7 separate regions of the Mus musculus genome follow, and all the other regions are reported to be linked to region 1. The links are microRNA targets in miRTarBase. Many come from high-throughput screens and were not tested one by one. Region 1 holds a microRNA gene; each other region holds the end of a gene's coding sequence.

What was found. The annotated mature microRNA mmu-miR-541-5p reads AAGGGAUUCUGAUGUUGGUCACACU and lies in region 1 at 1,104-1,128, opposite strand. An mRNA with a match to its seed (bases 2 to 7 or 8) in the 3' UTR can be bound and repressed. Matches are read on the target gene's strand: a 7mer-m8 pairs with bases 2 to 8, a 7mer-A1 pairs with bases 2 to 7 and ends in A, and an 8mer does both.
Region 2: miRTarBase lists Fam210a as a target of mmu-miR-541-5p. The part of its 3' UTR that is shown has no 7-base or 8-base seed match.
Region 3: miRTarBase lists Arpp21 as a target of mmu-miR-541-5p. The part of its 3' UTR that is shown has no 7-base or 8-base seed match.
Region 4: miRTarBase lists Map4 as a target of mmu-miR-541-5p. Seed matches in the 3' UTR shown: 7mer-m8 at 833-839 and 8mer at 1,923-1,930.
Region 5: miRTarBase lists Kif16b as a target of mmu-miR-541-5p. Seed matches in the 3' UTR shown: 8mer at 1,103-1,110 and 7mer-m8 at 1,313-1,319.
Region 6: the mRNA of Pgm2l1 is a reported target of mmu-miR-541-5p. The part of its 3' UTR that is shown has no 7-base or 8-base seed match.
Region 7: miRTarBase lists Slc25a18 as a target of mmu-miR-541-5p. The part of its 3' UTR that is shown has no 7-base or 8-base seed match.

What each region holds. Positions count from the first base shown.
Region 1 is chr12:109,740,467-109,743,549 of GRCm38, reverse strand. It overlaps Mir541 (microRNA 541), which reads right to left and starts at 1,141; the gene lies at 1,052-1,141. It overlaps Mirg (miRNA containing gene), which reads right to left. Exons shown (of 8, transcript NR_028265.1): 3 at 1,735-1,860; 4 at 1,260-1,488; 5 at 132-193. Mir377 (microRNA 377) reads right to left here and starts at 3,040; the gene lies at 2,973-3,040. It overlaps Mir409 (microRNA 409), which reads right to left and starts at 392; the gene lies at 314-392. It also overlaps Mir412 and Mir369.
Region 2 is chr18:68,266,157-68,269,239 of GRCm38, forward strand. It overlaps Fam210a (family with sequence similarity 210, member A), which reads right to left. Exons shown (of 4, transcript NM_153794.4): 4 at 1-2,796. The coding sequence ends at 2,563. Among named protein-coding and RNA genes, the nearest start is that of Mir7219, 6.7 kb to the left of the region's middle.
Region 3 is chr9:112,062,894-112,065,976 of GRCm38, forward strand. It overlaps Arpp21 (cyclic AMP-regulated phosphoprotein, 21), which reads right to left. Exons shown (of 21, transcript NM_001362020.1): 21 at 2,198-3,083. The coding sequence ends at 2,872. Among named protein-coding and RNA genes, the nearest start is that of Gm51694, 23 kb to the right of the region's middle.
Region 4 is chr9:110,081,507-110,084,582 of GRCm38, forward strand. Map4 (microtubule-associated protein 4) reads left to right here. Exons shown (of 19, transcript NM_001205330.1): 18 at 1-104; 19 at 229-2,448. The coding sequence ends at 236. It overlaps Dhx30 (DEAH (Asp-Glu-Ala-His) box polypeptide 30), which reads right to left. Exons shown (of 23, transcript NM_001252682.1): 23 at 2,813-3,076. The coding sequence ends at 2,887. Among named protein-coding and RNA genes, the nearest start is that of Dhx30, 35 kb to the right of the region's middle.
Region 5 is chr2:142,617,157-142,620,239 of GRCm38, reverse strand. It overlaps Kif16b (kinesin family member 16B), which reads left to right. Exons shown (of 26, transcript NM_001081133.2): 26 at 324-1,895. The coding sequence ends at 482. Among named protein-coding and RNA genes, the nearest start is that of Kif16b, 280 kb to the left of the region's middle.
Region 6 is chr7:100,271,785-100,274,867 of GRCm38, reverse strand. Pgm2l1 (phosphoglucomutase 2-like 1) reads right to left here. Exons shown (of 14, transcript NM_027629.3): 14 at 1-2,541. The coding sequence ends at 2,439. Among named protein-coding and RNA genes, the nearest start is that of P4ha3, 12 kb to the left of the region's middle.
Region 7 is chr6:120,793,331-120,796,413 of GRCm38, reverse strand. It overlaps Slc25a18 (solute carrier family 25 (mitochondrial carrier), member 18), which reads right to left. Exons shown (of 10, transcript NM_001081048.2): 10 at 2,432-2,912. The coding sequence ends at 2,771. It overlaps Atp6v1e1 (ATPase, H+ transporting, lysosomal V1 subunit E1), which reads left to right. Exons shown (of 9, transcript NM_007510.3): 9 at 650-1,170. The coding sequence ends at 712. Among named protein-coding and RNA genes, the nearest start is that of Slc25a18, 21 kb to the right of the region's middle.

The DNA.
Region 1 (3,083 bases):
GTCCCCACCCCCACAGGGGCTGCAACTCCAAGAGCTTCTCCAAGCTGAGCGTTGATACTGAGAAAAGATCAACCATGTATTATTCGAAGTCAGCCAAGCGAATATAACACGGTCGATCTCCCTTCAAGTACCAGCAGAGGTGTTGAGCTGAGGCTGTGACATCCTGGGCGCAGGCTGCAGCGGGCACCGACGGCTAGTGGACCAGGTGAAGTACATTAGAAACAATTACTTTCCAGCTGGTCGACCATCCGTCCCATACCCCAGAGCGAGATGAGTCCATGGTCTTCCCTGAGGTGGCCTCCCTGGAGGGATTTGATACCGAAAAGGGGTTCACCGAGCAACATTCGTCCTCCAGATGCAAAGTTGCTCGGGTAACCTCTCTCCGAGTACCACGGAGAGGCTCGGATGCTCAGAACGAGGCCGATGGCTGAGTTTCCAGAAGAACCATCCTGGAGCCCCTCAGAGATTATAACTCCCCATTCAGTGAGGAGCCACCCTCCACCACGTGAAAGCAATTATTCCATCACCTCCCCAGTGCAATCTACCACCCTTTCACCTTCCAAGAATATCTAAAGCCTTCCCAGACAACCTTGAGACCCAGGTAGCGAGGAGCTGACTCGGGGCAGAAGTGGGTGCAGAACTCTGCTTACTCTATCTCTCCTTTGTAAGCTGGAGATAGGGAGATGCTGAGACCCTGCGCATATACCACACCACCCTCCCAGAGACGATGCCTTCCAGAAGCGAGGAGGCAATGACTGCATCATCCAGAGATGCTCCTCCTTGGGCCCACCCAACCACTGCAGCCCCACGACCCTGGCATCCCCGCCCTGTCACCTGCCCCCTCCCCCCACGGTGATGTCATAGCAAGAACTGCTTGACCATCCAGTCCTATAAACCAAGCAAGTAATGCTTCAAAGATAAACATGGAGGGAGGAGAGAAAGAACAGCGGAAGGAGATCCCGCAGGGTCCCCTTGTGCCAGTGTGTATGGCTGCCCCGCACGAGCACGCCAGGGAGGGCTCTCCAGTAAGGGTCAGGATCCATTGACTTAGGCCATAAGCAGAGTATGGATTCTGTGTTCGCCACTCATTTTAAAACTCTTGGAGTGTGACCAACATCAGAATCCCTTCTCTGATTTTGGCAAGAGTTCACACAGGCTTCTAGCCTTGCTGCAGGGCAGCAAGAGACTGGTCACATGCAGTGTGTCATACGGGGAAAAGACGCCACGGGCAGCTTCATGTAGGTGTTCTGGAAACTGACCTGTGGGACAGAGGCTCTTTCCCCAGCTGGCATCACCTCCTGGAAATGCTCCTAAGAGGCACACAATGGCGATGATGGTGGCTAACGGTAGCTACAAGATCCAGTCAACAGTATGGGGAGGGAAGCTTGTCCAGGTTCTTCCTCCAAGCACTTGTCCTGGAGAGAGCTCCAGCCACTGACCAGTTCCAAGACAATGATGTAGCCTCTGGAGTCCTTTGAGGTAAAGATCCTTTTGGAAAGAGAGCCACCATGAAACCTGGTGCTCATCACACCCCAGATAGTATATTAGACCCTGGATACATCCACTCTAAAATGACCTCCCGTACGGGCCTAGCCCTTCAGCACCAACAATGGGTACGTCTTTAAGCCTAGCCCTGGGAGCTGGCAACATGGAAACCCAAGGAAGGGCAGGCCCTAGAATGTTCCAGGTACCAACTGCTCGGCAAGAGCAGACTCCCCAGAACCAGTGTCTTACCCGGAATGTTTCATGAGGATCGAGGAAAGTGAAGAAGACTGCTCAGTGGGCACGTGCTCTGGCACTGGTACCCAGTCACATCCTCCAGGTGACACCCGCCAGCTTCTGAATACTCCATGAAGCTCTCTGTAAAGGTTTGGGATGGGAAAATAAAGTTTAGCCACATTAAAAAAAAAAACCCACATGGTGACCAGTCCTTCTTATCACCCCACTAGCTCTAGTCTATATCCATAGATTTCCCCATCTCAAACACCACACCCACATTGATTTTCATAAAAAAACATGCATTTCTTTCCTTTTTTTTTTTTTAAAGTAAATTCCATTAAACTAATCCAATTCCCTGTTTAGCTTCCTTGACTGTGCTGTTGGGCCATTTTCATTTCTTTTATTTCCCTTGTTATTTCCTCAAATCATTTTCATTAGGATCAATTCTTTCCCATTTAAAAATCTGAACGAAGATTTGATTCCTCAATGTGCGTTCATCTACCACAAATATTACTGCTCATAGCATCCGCCACTACTGAAGCTGCCCCTTGCGGCTGCCATGTCTACAGAGTACTGTTTCCCCAGGTCAAATGTCGCAGCTCAAATGTTGTCAAGAAAATTGGATTCTTCTGCCAATTTGTAGTCAATTGAACACATTTTCCTCCAAGCTATTCTGGTAGTTTGTGGTGTTATTTTGTGATTATTTTATCACTATTATTTAATGTAAACGGGATGAAATGCTGGTCGCCTCTATTCATTTCCTAACCCATCCAAAAATGGAGAACAAGGTTTGGTGAGCGATGAGGACGAAAGAGAAACAGACAGAGGTGTGTTGAGGGGGTGGGGTGGGAGGGGGGAAAAACAGATGGTATGTGAGCACTCCTGACCCAGTGAGTTGAGGAGAGGAAGGGGGTGGGGAGGGAAGGCTGCCATTGTCCTTGACACTGTCAAAGGACAGAGTTCATTTTGTCAAGGTATCTTCAGAGTAGAGATAGAACAGCGAGTGTGTCTGCAACTAGGGGGGCTAGGTGCTGGTGTGACAAAGAGGATTCAGGCTGAGAAGAGTCAGGGAGTAGATATTGGCATCTCTCCATTGGTTCCTGGGACTACATGTCTGGTCACGTGGCGTTCTGAGCCACACCCCTTCCTGACCATCCCCATATCCACACCTTCCATTCTAGCACATGACATTTGCAGAGACCCCAGAACTTTGTAACGTGTCCCCAATGCCACCCCAAGCAGGCTTTGATACTCAAACAAAAGTTGCCTTTGTGTGATTCAACATCAATAAAGCGAATTCACCAAGGGCAACCTCTGCTCAAGAATCAAACGTCAGCACAGGCCGAGAGTTGAGCAGGGCGCCT
Region 2 (3,083 bases), not on the chromosome of region 1:
CTGCCCAAAGTATAAAGATGTTTAAAATTCCCAGAACCATGGTTGAAGACCACAGAAACAAGGAACTGACCAGCTCTTTCCCCTGAGCATAAAGAACGTAGCTCTTTCCTCTGTAAAGATGATGGAGGAGGATTTACAATGGAGAACTCGGGGGAATATACTGGAAGGCTTAGTTTTATTGTTCCACTGTGGGAGGCAGCTAATCCCAACATACATCTTTTCCCTTTGGTGAAACTGAACAGCACCCCATTTTGCACAAAAGGCTCTCAATAATGATGTGATATTCTAAAAGGCTGGTTTTATGCTTTATTCTTCAAAAGACTAAGCCTTCATTTGAACTTAATTTGCTAGGCAAATGCTTTTTGTTCATATTGAAAACACTAAATCTCAGTCACAGCTCCGTTTAGGACATGAGTGTATCTTTCAAAGGATGGATATGCTCACCAGGCATGGCGGTCCGGCTTCCCTTGCAGCTTAGAGAAATGCAAGATCCACTTTAAATAAAATGCAGTTCAGCATATACAAAAATCTATCTATATTATACATTTTGATAATTTAAGTTGAAATGTTACTGTTGTCTGCTATCAACATATTACAGGTTTGCCTATAAGCTGTTTCTTGCCTTAAAGATAATACATTGGCAACAGCATTTTTATGACACAACTGATGTCAAATTGTAACAATGTAACTTCTCAGATCATTAGAAATATTTTTATCAGATTTAAAGCACACACAGCATTTCCTCATCTGCTTTAACTGGGTACACATGACCCAGACATAAAACTGGATGGTGATAAGACTACAATGGACTAGGCAGAAGGTACTGACTTAGGACAAGAAAGTTGCAGTCTCATGATTATTAGCAATGTCTTAAGAACTCTCCAGTTATGCACTACGACAGATAAAAGGTTTTAGAAGAAAGAATTCCATGTACCACCACATGTTGGCATAGCATTCTTGGTGGCTTCAAAGGGAACATGTGAACACACCAGCATTTAGAACCTGACTATTTAATAAGCAGGCTCCAGTGTGCTGCCATGTTTATATTGTATTTGAAAGTGTGCCGTCTGTTTATAGCAGTTCACTCAGTGACCTCTACCTCAGATTAATCAGGCTGCCAACAAACAAAAGAACAGGACAAATTCCCCTCTGTAATTCTTCCAACCCAGAAAGACTTCAACCAAAGCATTTTTACTTCAATGGTGTTTCAATATAATGACTGAGTGCCTCAAGTGTGAAGTTATTCCTCCATTTCCTAAATTTGGCTAAATTAAGCATTTGACATAAAGTCTGACACAAAGCAGGGACTGAATGGGATAGCAATGTGGCATGGGCTCTGACATTCTCCTGATGCTAAGTCAAAGCCAATGCTCTCTAAAGACGCATTTCTTGCCCCAGTGTCAAATCAAGGGTTAGACCTGAAGGAAAGACACACAAACAGAAAGACACTCTGCAGTCATCGGACTTGCTTGACAGTCGTTGAATTACAAGCAGTGAGCTTTTTGCTATATATATATATATAAAAAATCAAGCAGAATATTTAAGCAGTAATTTCCCCTTCCAATGAGAAACCTGAGCCACAACACTAATGGTATCTGTGACAGACAGGCCTGTTTTGACCAGGGATAAAAGACCGAAATCCTGAAGGAGTTGAAGCAGCAGCAGGAGAGGTCTTAGAAACCAATGAGCCACACGGTGCTCCTCCCACCTGTTGTCTACGAGTACCACCCTCGAGCATCCATCTCCTCCACATTCCGTTACAGACTTTTGCTCCTACCAAAATCAGCAGCGGTCTTGCAAAGCTTGATGCAGTTAAACAGTGAACCTGACTTGCTGATGTATGTGATGGCAACAATGAAGAGTGTAAAACTTCCATGATTCTCCAAGGATTAGTTGGAGAAGACACAGGTTATAAGAACGTCTGACCGTCCACTTGACCATCCACCAAGCACAGTCAAGACTGAGAAGGAATAGGCTTTAAAAACTGTAAGTTGACAAGCTCCAGGTAAAAACCACTTTAAAAGATCCATTTCATTACATAGCCAATATATATTATTTATAAATGTAAGACTGATTCCTTTAACATGACCTTCTTGAAATAAGGTCTACTTGGTAAGTGGTAGGGAGTGTCTCTCGTCTCTCCATCCAGAGTCTTCAATGGTGTAAATTCATTCCCACAGGACTGGGTCCTTAGTGAATGTTCCTCTGGGAGTGGACTGCCCAGCACAGCCTTACTGCAGGGGTCAGAGAAACGAAGCAAAAAGAACTCTGATTTCTAGGACATCAACTACTGCTTATTGCTGCATCTCATATAAATGCTGTATGCTGGGTTCATTTCCTCATTTTGAAAAACATTGATTTTCCTCCCTATTGTTATTTAACTTAAAAGAACAAAAATTAAAAAACAAAAAAACCCCCCAAACCTATCTTTGTTCTTTAACCCGCAGAGAATGAATACATTTAGGCAAGTAACCAAAAAAAGAAAAAAAAAAAAATCAGAAACATGTTCTTTGCCCAGAGTCTACCGAGGGATAGTGTAGGCTTTTCTGTAATAAGGCACCCTCATTCCACTTTTTTCTTAAAGGACACTTTTCCTTTGGTTTCTTGTAACTTCTCAGTGAGTCTGTCCTTTGTCTCCTCCATTTTCTCTGTGATGAGCTCCTTCGTCTCTTCCATTCTGCCCTGCAAGTACTCCTTGACAGGCGGTGGGGTTGACATGTAGCCGTGACTTCGCAAATACTTCACGGTAAAGGAGGTTCCTCCCAAGGTCACGGTGTAGCGGGCAGGCGTTGCGATCTTAAGGGAAAAGAAAAGCAAACGGGATCAACATCTGATTAGGACTAAATAAAATGACGTTGAAGTTTACGTTCTTGGTAAGATTCAGCACAGACTACTGTTGGAGGTGAGTATACCACCCTATAGTGTCTTTCTAAGATAGAATACTTTTCCTGCAGACATTTTAAAATGTCTGTCCTCAGACGATAGCATTTCAGATTTCAGGGTTATCACAGACAGCTGCACTGACCCTTACTGACCTGTGTGTGCCCTAGGTCTCTGCATGGACTGTACATCTGGGCTCAAGT
Region 3 (3,083 bases), not on the chromosome of region 1:
TAAGTGGCTCAGCAATTCTAAGGCTCATAAAACAAAAAACAAAGTTCCCCAGAGTTCTATGGGGGAGGATAAGCATTCCAACTCATGTTTTGATTATTTGATTTTAGAATTACTGTCAAAGTCTAAAGCCTAAATAGAGAATTTTTTAAAGTGAATATTGGCTGGTGAGATAATCCAAAGGGTGCTTGCTGTCCAGGTGGCCATCCTGAGAACCCATAAGGTAGAAGGAGAAAACTGACTCCTGAAAATTGTACTATGATTTTCACACGTGCACCAGGGCATGTGTGCACATATGCATGCATGTGCGCGTGTGCACACACACACACACACACACACACACACGCACACACACTAAATAAATAAATAAATAAATAAATAAATAAATAAATGTAATTAGAGAATGAATACATATTGGCCAAGACCCTCTTTCCATTAGGGAAAGATCTTAGCTAAGGAAGTAAGTGTGCTGACATTCCTCAGTGTGGTTATTGGTTCAATGGCTCAATTAAAAGAAAAATTCTTATAATGCTTTTCATGGTCAGGGATTATGATGATGAAAAATTAAGTAGACCCAGATATGGGAAAATGGAGCAGACTTCACATGGAGCAGAGATAATTAGAATAGCACAAAAGCCCCCCTTGAAAGGAAGAAGAGGACGCCTGACAGAAAGAAATGATAATCTACTAAGCAGGGTTTTTAAGTGATTAACTCTATCCACAGCTAAACAACTGAAAACAAAAAATCCAGAGTAGGCAGTGTGAGCAAATGAAAACCGATGAGAATTTCCCTGACGCCATTCCCTTAACACATTTTTAGGGAGGAAATATAAACAACAGAGGAATTCTTATCTTGTGGTATTAAGATGAAAGCTCCGAGGTTTCATTCCCTCAAAGAGACATCTTCCCAAGGGCTAACCCTCCGAGTCCAGAGTTCAGTTATTAATTTTTAAATTTTGTCCTAACTCAGTTTTAACCATGGATGCCATAGGGAATTATACATCCGTCAGGGGATTGGATAGTCATAGGCTTTGCATATTTGCTTTGCAGATGTTCTAGCCTTTGTGATTAAATAGTTGCTATATACATTCTTTTTCAGTTACCAGGACAAATGCCAGTACCTTGGAGATGTTGGCTCACTGTCCAAACCCATAGTACATTGGAGTATGTGGCTCAGTATAGCAGGAGGAATCAGGCTCTGCCTTTTCTATATTAATAAGAAATTTATCTTTACTAGTCACATAGTTTAACTCCAGCAAAGACAGAAAAAGACTAGATGTAGAGTAGGTATTGGTATTAGCAACATTCAGAATTTCCTAGTAGATACAATATAGCTCTACACCTCCAATATTTTTTAAATTAAAATCAATGACACAGAGTTCAACTTATGTTCATGGCCCTTATGATGCTATCAAGATGAGGGGTTATTCTTGATACTAATATTTGCTTATAGAATCTCTCAGAGAGATGTTAGCCAACTCAAAATGCCTGAGAGCCACTTTTCCATATAGCAGCCGTGAGGGGACGCCAAGAAAGAACAACGTGGACACTAATAAGACACAATCATAGCGAATGTTCAGCCAAAATTGGATTTCTATATGATCCCTCCAAGGCACAGGGACCATCACGGGGGAAGGGATGGAAAGAATTTAAGAGAAGGCAGAAGAGCAAACTCTCTTGGAACACTATCTTCCAGGCCTGGTACAGAGTGGCCTGACTGAGCTCACAGCATCTTCAATTACCTACACAAAATGGAATCTATCAACATCCTGTCATGGGGAGGGGAGGTTTATGAATCCCTGCCCCTCTCTGAGGACTTATAGGTAGTTAATGGTTGATGGGGGATAGAGACACTTTCCCTCTAAGAGAGTAATTATACAAGTTCCTTTAAACTTAAAAAATCCCCTCTCCTTGCTTCTGTAAGAAGCCCTAGTGAAACTCATTGATTCAGAGCAAGTCAGTAAGAAACAGCCCTCCATGGGCTCCTGCCTCCAGGTTCCAGCCTTGTTTGAGTTTCGGTCCTAATCTCCATTGGTGATGAGCAACAATATTGAAGTGAAAGTCAAATAAACCCTCCCCTCCCCCCCCAAAAAAATCCTCATTGGTTCATTAAAGACAGACAGACAGACAGACAGACAGACAGACAGTGCATGGAAGAGTGGAGCTAACTGAGAAGAGGGAGGATATCAAGGAGAGTTTGAGGAGACATTGAGTTTTAATGTGGTCAAAATGTATTCTGTACAAGTATGGAAATGTCATTCTTAAAATTAACATCTATCTGCTAATGAAACCATTAACTAAATAGGTAAACAGCACATGGAAAGAGAGACGGAAACAAACTGGTGGTAAAAACATGACCTTCCTCCGTAAGGTCAAATAAGCTTTTATTTGGATTAAACACTACAATACCATATATATCCATTTAAAAAAGAAAACTCTATAGTGTATATAAATTATTCCTTCCATTCCTTAACTCTTTCCTTTTTCCATTACAGCTTTGGTACCGTGTGATTTAGTTTATATATATATTTTTAAATACTTTTAGCATCACAAACTCAACACGAAGTACAAAACTAATCCGAATCAGGGATATTGTAATCTACACAGTGGTATTCAGTGGTAGGAGAAAATCTTACCTTGATGAATTCATGTCACTAGCTAAGCTAGAAAGGCATACCTAGCAGACATGACGGAATTATGCACCATTAACCAGCTAATGTGTGTATTAGTCTTTGATTAGTTTGTACAGAATACCAGCAGCAATCGTTTGCACGTTGAGTGTATATGGAAGTCCTCAGCCAGTCGTCAGTCTCCTCTTCCTTTGAAGGCCATGAGTTAACATCTGATGAAGTGGACAGCAGGCAGCCTGAGCTCTCAGAACTTGACCTGCCAGCCTGCGTTGCTCACGTTCCCACAGTTTGTTCTGCAACTAGCGGACATGACAGGAACCGTGCTGGAGGGGCAGTGTGGACCCATCAACCTTAGGTTGTTCTGAGGGTTTGGCGGTGTGACGTTACAGTACACAGGCATTCCGGTGGCTGGGAGTGACCCTTGGCCTGCCTGACTGGGCAGCATGATTGGTGGTT
Region 4 (3,076 bases), not on the chromosome of region 1:
TGGCGCCCCTACTTCAGCCAGTGGCCTCAGTGGCCACACCACCCTGTCAGGGGGTGGTGACCAAAGGGAGCCCCAGACCTTGGACAGCCAGATCCAGGAGACAAGTAAGTGGCTGGGCTTGGCCTAAGGGCCAGCCAGGGGCCCTGTCACTGGCTGAAAATTGAAGCTCCTTTGTTTTATGACTGGAGTATGGCCTAAATTTTAACAAAGTAACCTTTTATCTTCCAGGCATCTAATGATGACATTCTGGTCTCGTCTTCCATCTCCCCTGTGTTCCCTCTCTTGTCTCCCCCCCTTGTTACCCTCTCCCATCCCTCCTCACGTGTCACTGCAGATTGAGACCTACAGGCTGACGTTCCGGGCAAATGCCAGGGCCCGCACCGACCATGGGGCTGACATTGTCTCCCGGCCTCCCCACTTCCCTGGTGGCCCAAGCTTGGGGTCTCGAGCCCTGGGCTCCTTTTCCCGGGCTGTCTACTAGACTTGTAAGCTCTTGGGTGCTGGGCAGCCCCTTTAGGCCTCCCTCCCTCCTGCCTCGCTTGCTCAAGGCAGCAGCAGCCCCACTCGCTGCCATTACACCTCCTTCCACCCCTTTCTGGGCCAACTCCAACTTCACTATCTCACCACTTCACCACTGCACCACGGAGAAAGTTGGGCGGGGACGGGAGTCCAGTGGGATCTCTGTGGGATCTAGGGGTGAGGAGCTGGATTCCAGCCTTGGCTGTTTGGTTTTTTTGGACCAAACCCAAAAGAAACTGACAAACCTCTCTTCCCTGGCTCAACCTGGAGGGACTGGTAAAGGTGAACTCCACGTGGAGACCAGCACCGACTGAATCCCTGGAACCTAAACCACTCCTTGACCCCACGGGGTGGAAGCCACCATTTGGTGGTACCAGGCCCTTTTGCTGCCTCACCTCAAGTTAGTCAAGGATCAGTCCTCCTTGTCCCCACGACTTATCGTACCTGAGTAGCTGCTGTCTCACTTTTTTATTCTTTCCTCTCCCAATAACCTATGAACTGGTGGTGTAGTTTGCAGGCTGAAGCCATGTCTAAATGAGAGTTCTTGGTAGGTGGTGAGGGAAGTGGGGAAGGAGATCCCGAGTCTCCACTGAGGAGGCTGTCAGATATTGGCGGGGGTTGCCCTACTCTGGGCAGCTTGGGCCCTGCAGGAAGAAGTGAAGTCAGACAGCTAGGGTGGGTCAGTGTGGCTGATTGTGTTGGTATTGTGTGTATGCTGCTTTTCTAACCAAGAGGCTGGTTTTGGCATCTATCTCATTCCCTGGGAATGCGGTGGTTAAATGTGTGATACAAAATCAGGGCTGGAGAAACAGAAATGAAGGTCAAAATCGCTGGCCTGTACCTACAGGCCATAGCACCCAAATCCTCATATCTAGGGGAGCCTGAAATGTCCAGAACGCTTGTGAACAGTGGGGAATCAGGTGTGAAAATTTAAAACTAAAATGCATGAGACTGAGGCCATCCAGTCTTCTGGTGTGGCGGGAGAGGTGGAGCCATGGTGGTGCAGCCATCCCAGCGTGGTCTGCTCATGGATGGGATGGTTGCAATGTTGAGAAAATCCCGGGAATTTTATCAACACAAGATTCTTATTGCACTTGTATTTTTTGTATTAAAGTTTGCATGGTTTCTAATAAAGGATTCAAACCTAAGTTTGTATTGAAATGGCCTGGGAGTGTCTAAGGGCTCCTCTGATAGGGCATTTTCTGCTGGGCAGATTTGCCTCTCAGGAGGCTGGCCCAGACTTGGTCCCCTTGGCCCTCCTCCGAACAGACTCTGCCTTTGCTTGGGTACAGTTTGAGGAGGTAGAGGTCTTTACTCTCTCTCTGCCAAGGGAAGGTATCCCTGGGCTTGAAGGTCTTCTCCATTTATGAGGTAGCAGTTACTTTGTGATAATCTTGACACTGAATCCCTAGCTCTCTAAGCACACACAAAGAATTGCTGGGACCTGTGGAAAAAAGACTGCCTGAGCTGGGGAGTGGCTTTCTTCCCAAGCTGTCAGAACTAAGCTTGGAGCCTGCATTGTCTGTATTTTGCAGCAATAGGGGCCCACGGAGCTGGGAAGGACACAGTGGGGACCAGGGTAGTGATGACTGAGCGTATACAGGTACTTGCTACCCTCCTTGATGTTGATCTTAGGGCCTTGAAGATGCTAAGGAAATTGACAAGAAACAAGTCCATTGGCCAAGGATTAGAGAAAGGAAGGTAACCCAAGCTCTGTAGGTAGCTCCCTGGAAGGATCCCACGAGCCAGAGAACCTGAGAAGGCTGGTCTAGCAGCTTGGGACCACAGGCCATGTGATGTGCATACTTCAAAATGTTTGGGAATAAGGTCCTTCTGTATTTTATAGTTTGCTCATGGCTTAGCCATTACCCATGTCTGTAATTGTTGTACTGATTTAAACAATAAAGCTGCCTGACATCCCACCATGTTATGTTGCTTCTGTCCTCTTAGTCCTTATTAGTTCTTATCCCCTTCAGCTCCTCTCCCACCTGCCTTATGGCTGTGGCCAGGGCAAAATCAATGCCTGGAGTTCCTGGCAGGATGTACACAAATCAAGGCTGCCTAGAACAGTGCTCTTTGCCTCTTGCTATTCATACCCATTAGGACACGGTCTGTGCTGTGGGTATCATTAGAAGCATCTGTGACAATGCTGGGCTTGACCAGATAGTTAGCTGGAATGTGTTGGCTGCTCTGGTGGATCACTCTTGAGGATAGAGGTTTTAAGCCCCATCTGCCTGTAGGACTTGGGCCACTGCCCAGAGTCCTGAGAGGAGCCCTTGGGAGGACAGCAGCACTCACAAGGGATAAATATAACTTTATTTTAAATAAACATTTGCACTCTGTACATAGCCCCAGCGGAAGAGAGGCTCAGTCATCAGCTGTCTTGCGCATATCAAAGCTGCCACAAGGTCCTCGAAGCAACTCTGCCAGCAGTGCAAGCAGCTGCCCGTGTTCTTGCTGCACACTAAGAGGAAGTGCAGCTAACTCGCTGCGGAGGCTCCGCTCCACCATCCGTCCTAGGGCTCGACGAAACTCCCTTAGCAACCGCACAGTTCGT
Region 5 (3,083 bases), not on the chromosome of region 1:
GTAAAGTTGCCATAGGGAAAATGCCCAGGGTTAGCATGACTGGCATTCCTCATGGCACTGAGTAGATGGACATCAGGTGACATTTCTGTGGATTAGAGACCTGAGCCAAAGAAATTCCTACTGTGGGCTTGGATGTCACTGCTCTGTTTACTCTGCACAGGCTGACAGTAGCCCAGGAGGTCAAGGACCTCTGGAGCATTCTCTCCTTGGTGGTATTGATGAAGTAAGTGTTTATACATGCCAGGGGTACACAGGAGAGTTTCTCTCCCCTCCTTGACTGTAGCACTGTCTTGACCATAATCTTCATTCTTGTCTCTTCTCAGAAATACCTCAGGGAGTTTTTCAGTGTGATGCTCCAGTCCGAGACATCTCCCCTTCACATCAACAAAGTGGGACTGACCCTGTCCAAGCACACCATTTGTGAATTCTCACCATTCTTCAAGAAAGGAGTTTTTGACTACAGCAGCCATGGGACAGGGTAGAGCTGTGGCGACCAAGGAACCACCAACACAGTGCCTTCTCATCAAATAGACTCTGATGCAGAGTGGACTCCTGCACCAGGATTCCAGCTTGCCTCCTCCAGTTGTGGCAACATGCAGCAGCCAGCCCAGACCACCTCTCACACCATATCTAGTGCCTGAGTTTGGGAGTGGGTGCTTGCCTGCCAAGGGCAACTCTGATTGACAGTTGTTACTGTACCTCTGCACTTGAACGTGGCCTTTCCCATAGTACAGCAAGTCAATCCCCTGTGGCAGGATGGATGTGTGGCTTGCTTATCTAGGGACTCCTAGAGCCAAGCCAACTTGGGACTTCCCATTGTGGGTGGCTTACCAGACCACCCTTAAGTGACTTTCATCTGGTTTCCTTTTTCACCAAAATATGCTTTTTTTTTTATACTTCTTCCATGTGGCTGGCTAGGTTTCAAAGATGTTTTAAGTTATGTCATATTGTTTTGTTCATTTGGATTTGGATTTAATAATATCTAAATACTGACGTTTACATAGAATGTCCTGTTCAGTAAAAAGGATCTGTAGGCCAATCATGAGAAGAGTCTTCCATGCCTGACAAATTGGATGTAGGCAACATTGCAGAAACTTGCAGAAATCCCTACAAATAAGACATTGTTTAACCTTCACTATTTGAGGGCATTTTCCCAAACCTCAAAGGCTGTTGTTCATTTTTTAGCTTTTTCTGCATAAAACAAGTGCAAAGCTGGATGCAATCTTTTAAATATCCTTTGTCCATGTTTTAGTACAGAACCTTCAAGATCATTAACTAAAAAGAGAGAGAGAATTTTCAGTAGTTTATTAATAATCCCTCAATTACTCAGGACATAATGTAGCATTTCACATCGTGTACAGTGAAACTGCTTCCTTTATCAAAAGAAAATTGTGAGTAGGAAAAATCTGTGGTATATATTGAAATGTACATAATTCAACATATAGATTTATATGTATACACTCCTGTACAATAGTATATCAGGCTATATGATCATTCACACCAAATTTATTAAAGGTGTTTGCTTTTTCAACTGTTAAATTGAGCTGCTATCAATATTAAATGAAGTCATGTGCTATACCCTGTAGTTCAGTTTAAGTTTGTAATATGATCATTTCTACTGGTCTGTTTAACAATTGACCTGATATGCTTAGAAAGAGGCATATTGTACAATTTAGCATTTATGTTGCAGAAAATGCAGTTATGATTGAAGTCACAAATGAATGGATAACAAAACATGCTTGCATTCAGTCTTCTAGAACATGCCCGCACAGCAGATCTCTCCAAGCTCACAAGAATGTTGGAAGATGCAGCTAGCCCTATAAGGAGGAGACTAATATTCAATTAATTAAATATCATAGCTTAGCATGAAAAAATAAAACGGACTCTTTATTTAATTGCCTCAGAAGTGTATGCTTCTCTCTCCAGTCTCGATTATAGGCCTAGGTTTCATAGCAATTGCTATCAAGAATTTAAAACTAAAGATTAAAGGATAAAAACTGGGAGATGATAAATTAACCATGGGTCATTTATTTAAAAGAAGTTCAAGTGCTGAAAACTATCCCTCATTGGCTTGAGTAAATTTTTTTTTTCAACTGACCAGATAATTAATATGTCTCTCACCCTCTGGGGCCTATATTGAAAGGTGGGCTCTTGGTGAGCATTTTGTTAAAATTATACGTGTGCTATTTGGCAAGAGTAAAGAGTGTATTTGTGATGATCAGTCACAAGGAGATCTTCCTTGTATCAAATGCATGGTAGTGCTCAGAGCCCTAGTATTGACTAGCTCTGGCTAAAGCCAGCAAAGGCCTGGACCAGTCACTCCATCCACCCAGACCTTGGCCCCATCTGAAAACAAAGCTATTCTCTGAGATGATTCTAGCTCCCGCTTGGACCTCTGGTTACAGCAGGGGGTTAATTATTCCGGTTGGTCCAGCTGAAGACCTCCATGTACAGGAATCATGGAGTTCCTCTTGAGCTAACAATAGGAGAGATGATAGGTCTGAGCTGACAAAACGGAAGCCTGGGCAGCTTGAACTAATTTAAAGAAGTAAAAGAAATTTAATTAACAAGTATGTATGCATCATTGTGCTTTCAAGCATCCTGGATACCAAGTGGCCACTGTCACAATTCAGACTGACAAGTCATCCTCTTACACTTTGTTGTTACTTGGACAAATCTGGGGGACTTCTGTTTTAAAGTAGGTGGCATGCCTTCCTAGACATTGTTTACAAAATAAATACTCCTCTGTCTTGTTTAAAAATCACAGTACAGTTACCTTCCATTGGGCTCCCACACAGACCTTGCCCTCTCATTATGAAGTTCAGATTCAACCCTGACGTTGAATAGGAACAGAACAGTAGTCATGTCAACTCCTAGTGACTGCAGCCTACAAGAGTCTCTCATCATGATATAGAAATGCTTAAACAGGATTCCTGGATCTCAGATCATTTTAGATCTAAATTTTTGTGTAGAAATTTAACATTTTTATGTTAAAAAAAAAAAAAGTAGCTCAGCCTGGCCTCTGATCAGCTACACAGGCTCTATCAGGATCTGGGCAGAGATCGTGGATATAGCACATGGAT
Region 6 (3,083 bases), not on the chromosome of region 1:
GAGATAAACAATGCAGTTATCATTCCAAGGTCGAGACCCACAGGCTGGCATGCCTATCTTGAGCTGTTATTAAATTTAGCCTGTTAGGCACCTGTGCACCCACTGTGTCATGTTCATGTTAAACATGCTCAGACAGACTCAAGAATGTAGACAAGAATCAAACGGTCTCCTCAACTTACACACTCTGGGAACCTTTATACACAGCTGGGATGTAGCCTTTCAAGATAAGGGCTCAAATGTCAGTAACGTCACGTGACGATGACTTATTTCTTGTATGTTTAGCACTGAAGCAAAGATATTCTCTTCACAAGTGAATAGCAATCATGGCGTGGCTTTCTTGTTATAAACAGGCTGTCACATTGCTTTAGTTTTCATTTTGTCCTTGGGCCACTGAGACACAGACACTAAAACTGAATGGGCATGTTTTTTTATACCACGTCGTAGAATACATGTTATTTCCTAAATTACAATTTACACTCCTAAAAGCCAACAAAATGTTTTAAAAATAAAACAAAAAATTCTACATGCTACTTTTTTTTTAGCACAAAGCCTCTAAAATAAACTCATACAGGAAAATGGCACTGAACATTAACTAGCTATCATCTATATAATGTAGGACCCAGTTCTAAGACAGTAAGGAAGGAACACAGAGCAGTAGTGGCAACATAATGTAAAACCTATCTTTGGATTATATAAGCTCAACCAAAATTATCCTCAAGCTGCAACAAAACACACCATGGTTTAATTAATATTCCAATCAGTATAGGCTTTATATTATTTATTTTTAGGAAACTAATCATCTAACATCAGTATTGTCTCCTATAGGCAACTTTTCTTAAATGATTATACCTGAAGGCCTTGCTACTGTTATCATAACTGTAGTGTGTGTATTCTGTAAACTATTTGGGGAAATATATAATTTGGAAAGCTTAGACAGTATTTTTCCATTAGGCTTTTCAGAAGGCTACAGAGTCAACCACAAATGACTTTCCTGAAAACTGTTTCGCATTGAAAAAGATGAAACGTATTTATATGATCAGAAATTCCAAAGCCTGATGGAGCATACTAAAATAAATTGACCTTAGTTCTAACTTCAGTTTCAGTGTTTCATAATACCTAAAATTTCCCATTCAAGCACCGTGCTTAGCCTTGTTTAGCTTCTGAGATAATGAGAATGAGATTGGGTATTGAATCAAGGTAGTGTGGCTGTAGAAAATACTTATATCTTGATGTTTCATTTTTTATTAAAATTAGCATTACCTTATCAGATAAATAAATCTGGCTATAAAAATGTAATTAAAAAAGACTGCCAAATAAATGCCATGCTGATGCCATAGGACAGAGTTTTTCACTTATAGGTTATGATAACTGAATCCTAGCAGGAAGACTCAGCTACAGTTACATTAAGCCAAAATTTATTAAGACCTTTTTCTACAACCATCTTTAGAGTGAACAAATCTGTTTCCTATAGAGGAAGCACCTATATAGTTTGGAAGATTTTCCTTAACTATCTGAAAATGGACTGTGTTATATTCAACACAGGAACATCATTTCAGTTCCCACTAGACCCTGAGAATGCACTGAGGAATTTGACAAGAATAAAGCCATGAGGAGTGCTGCCACTACTGTTTTATGTTCAGTAAACATCCGTCTTAAATACATACAGTAAATATACACCACACCAAGGGCACCCGAAACACTGGTGCCAAACCACAGACGGTAACATCTGTCCTAAATCAGAAAACCTAAATAACCTATAAACATTTTTTCCTTCCTTCCTTCCTTCCTTCCTTCCTTCCTTCCTTCCTTCCTTCCTTCCTTCCTTCCTCCCTCCCTCCCTCCCTCCCTCCCTCCCTCCCTCCCTTCCTAGACAAAGAATTACTGTGCAGCCCAGGCTAGCCATAAACTAACTAATGATCCTCCTACTAATGATCCTCCTGCCTCAGCCTCCTAAGGGCTGTGACGGCAGGAATATGCCACCAAGCTGGGTTTCTAATTTGAAAAACAGGCAGGAACAGTACTCCCAGCCACAAACACACAAACACCTTTAAGAAGTAATTTCCTTAACTAACCCTATAGTTATATAATGTTTGACTTCTTTTAAACCATGCTATACACAATTACAAGATACGTAACTAAGCTTAAGCACAGTTCAATATGAAAACTCACTTTTGTACTGTTTGTGATACAGGAAGAACAGCGTGCCACTGGAACACTTTCATTGTAATGACTGTCACTTAAGATTATGAAAATATTTGACTCATATCCAAATATTTTCATTTCAAATGTATATAATCTATTTAGCCAGCTGAACACAGGAAAGAAAAGGGAAAAGATAACTTGGCAGATGAGAGAATTCTAACACAAGGTTCACTGAGTGGAGTTCTTGAAGGTTTCGTTCCATATGTCAGTGCAGAGTCATAACGTACTGATGTGCCCTACACAGAGCGCCAGACCAGTGCGTTCTTACTGGGCTCAAGAAAATTCTCTATCAGCGCGTCAATGAGTTTCTTTAATTCTTCTTCCAGGAAGGTAGTGTCACTGAGGAAAAAAAGACAAAAACAGTTAAAATTCTTATTTTTATAGCCTTAACATTTATTTAAATCATTTCCACTTTTAAGGAAGGCACATATCTGACAGGACAACTAAATAATCGGCAAACAAAAGAGAAATTCACCCAGTTGAAATAAAACAAAGAAGACTCTTTAAAAATTCATACACAAAACAACAGTCACAAGCTAACACTGGACTGCATTACTCGGATGTCTTCCGGCCATGATAGAGTGTGAGTTCACAGTGGCCAATGAATTTTCCTAGGTTAATCAATTTAATAGCTCAGAATGCCAATAGCACGTATTATTAAAAATGGCTTTCTGAGATACTGAAGGACATTCAGTACAGAAGACATTGAACAATACAAATATCTTTCAGGTATCAGAAAGCAGTCCTGGCACTCACTGGGGAGGCAGAGGCAGGTGATCTCTGTGATTGTGAGGACAGCCAGGGCTCTATAGTGAGAGCTTGTCTTAAAAAAAGAAGAAAACGAATAAGGTATTTATTTTAAAAAATCACTCTACACTTAC
Region 7 (3,083 bases), not on the chromosome of region 1:
ACGTAGACTGGACATGGTGAGGGCTAGCACAGTGGGTGAGAAGTTCCCATGGAGCTATCAAGGGAGACTGTACAGTGTGGGAGGACAGAAGAGATCTGTGAGAAAAGTGGGGCAGAAGGGAACAGATGGCTGTCTGGGAGCTGAGAAAGGCTAGGATGGCAGTGTGGGTTTGAAATGTGTAACAGCTACTTGGGATACTGAGGGAGCCTGGAGGCCTGCAGGGGCTTTGACACACAACCTATATCCCTTCTGCCAGAGTGGGAACTACTTTCACAAGATCCTGAGCAATGCTGGCTTTTATCAAACTTCCAGACCATTGGAGTGCCTGAGACCCCACAAAAGCCAATGTGGTTACTCTTAGGGGTCACACTCATCCTTGTAACTCTCTGTCAAGACATCAACAGACTCCATCTAAGTGCCCTTTGCAGCCAGTCCTGGAAGGGGTTCACACACTCAGTGTCACAGACTGAGTACAGTAATGACTTCAGGTCTTTCCCCTTTTGTGAGCATAGTCTGACTGCTTAACTGTCTGGCACAGTGCAGCAGATAGGACAGGTCTGATGTGCTTAGCAATGTCCTTTCCCCACATGGTGTTAATATTGTCTGCAACTTCCCTGACTGAGGTCCTGATTTACTGACTTCTTTACAGATGATGCCAGAAGTCCGTGGAGCCTTGTTTGGTGCAAATGCCAATAGGAAGTTTCTGGACTGAGCTTCAGGAGGAGCAGTTCCCCCACGGCTGTTCTCCTGGAGAAGCAGATTATCTGTGTGGCTTCCTCTTTCTGTTCTAATACTGGTAATCAGTGGACACCCTCTACAGCTAATGCCCTCGGCTCAGTGTCAACAGCAGGGCCACTTGGTGTGGGCAAGAACCCAGCCCCAGCTCATCTGAGGCCACAGCTGTTCACTGGGTTTGCAGCAGGACGGGAGGGTCAGATGTGCTGCACGGCCTCACCCAGGACCCATTCTTTCCCTGTCCTGCTCTAGTCTAGAGTGAGTTGTGCATGCTGTCCCTGCTCTTTGGGCATAAAGTGCATGTGGGACTCACATTCCTCCAGGAACACTACCTTCGCTGTTACTGTTTAGGTCTAGTCTTCCTTCTCTGTAAATGTGATTTAAAATCTAAGCCACAAATATTCTTTATTTATTAAAACAGAGGGCTTATGTGGATTTAGTTGTTGTTCCTTATGTAAGGCACCGAGTTTGTGATTTGAGAGTAAGTTCCACTGGGCACGGTAGCCCACACCTGTAGCCCTAGCTGTGGTGGGAGGATTGTTTGGGGGCAGCCTGGGCAACAGGAAGATCCAGAGAGGAGCTATCCCAAATCCCTGCCGTACATTAACCTGCCTGTCCTGGAGGCTGGACAGCTTTGTGTGTGTGTGTGTGTGTGTGTGTGTGTGTGTGTGTGTGTGTGTGTGTGTGTTAGCAGTGGGTGCCAGAGCCTCATAGGGAAGCAGATGCTGCACCGCTGAGCCATGCCCCGCAACCTGTGGCCTGTGCATCTTTGGGGTTTTACCTATCTTGTCTTAGAGAGAATAAGGCCGTTTTCAGATGGATTATCTGCATGTACATCGGCGTACTCCCCCAGACCCAAGTTTTACGTTAGGTGGGACTAATGGAGGTTCTTTTCAGTTTTGTAGTTTGGCAGGGTTGCATACAGTGTAGGCTGGCCTAGAATGTGCTCACTGATGTTATGACCTTCATGTTTCCTATCCTCCCGTCCTCAGCTACTAAGGACTGGGACTATAGGCACGGGCCACCATGGTGTTGGGGGTGGAATCCTTTGCTAACTGACCTGTGTACCCAGCTCTCATTCCTGTTTTCTTAGGGCCTAACATCATTTGTGTGGCTTCGGAGAAATGAATTGAGGGCCATGAGATTGGGTTTCTTGGTGTTGACATGGCCATGAAAGGTAGAAAGAGGTGAGAGTCAAGGGTAGGAACTGGAGCCAGCACCTGCTGCTCTTCCGGAGGACCTGAATTCAGTTCTTAGTGCCGTGTCTGGCAGCTCACTACCACCTGTAACACAGCTTTAGGAGGTCCAATGCTCTCTTGGGGGTTACAGATACACAGACATGTAAATTAGTAAATAATTATTTTTTAAAAGCTGAACTCTTTCAGTGTACAATTTCCCCCCAACCACTCTCCACTCTAGAACAGCAGTTGGAAGACAGTAATGAACTGTCTGTGGGGCCCAAGAAGGCACAGCTTGACTCTGCAGAATGACAGTCATCTGCTATGCTGATTACAGGACAAGGATTTAACCAGCTTTATTTCAGATCATGTCCCACAAGCATCTATTGGAAGGGATCTGGGCCCATACTTCAGGGTGAGTATCTGGGGCAGGACCGCTGCTGAGGTGGCCAGAATGTTCATTCAGGCTCTCAGACTATTGCTGATGCCCGCGAGGGCACAGGTGCACTTCTGATCTGTTAGGGCGGCAAGGTTAGGATTGACGCTAAACCCTCACAGGACGATTCTGTGCCACACTTGCCTGCAGTGGGGATGTTAGTGTGGAAGAGCCCTTCTGTCTTACTGCACACGGTCCTGCCATAGTACATAAGAGGTTGGGGCTTCCGAACATCTCTGGTTCAGAAAGTTTAGTTTTCATAAAGGAGATGAAGGCTCTACTCGCTTAGTAAAATGGGTCATTTCTTCTGAGGTAGCACTACAGGTTAGAGACCACGTACGTCAGAGCCAGCATCTTATACTTCCAGCAGTGCCACCTAGTTCCCTAGGGCCAGAGGTGACAGCAAGAAGTGACACATAGATTACTCAAAGCACTTCAAGATGCGCTCTCCGATGCCAATGAAGTAGACGCCCTGGGCGATCCCAAAGAGGGGGGCTATGACCAGGGCACGGCAGCCTGCTCCTTTCATGAAGGCTGCTGGCCCCTCCTGTGTCCAGAGCTTCCTGTGAAGGAAGAAAGGAGAGCTTGGTAGGTGAAGGCTACGCACACATTTACTCAGGACTTTCTGTTGTTGGATTTGGGGAGAAGGTCTCTAGGTGTAGCCCAGGCTCTCCCTGGGCTACCCTCAATCTCCTGAGTGCTAGGCTTATAGGATTACAAGCTCTGAGGCATCA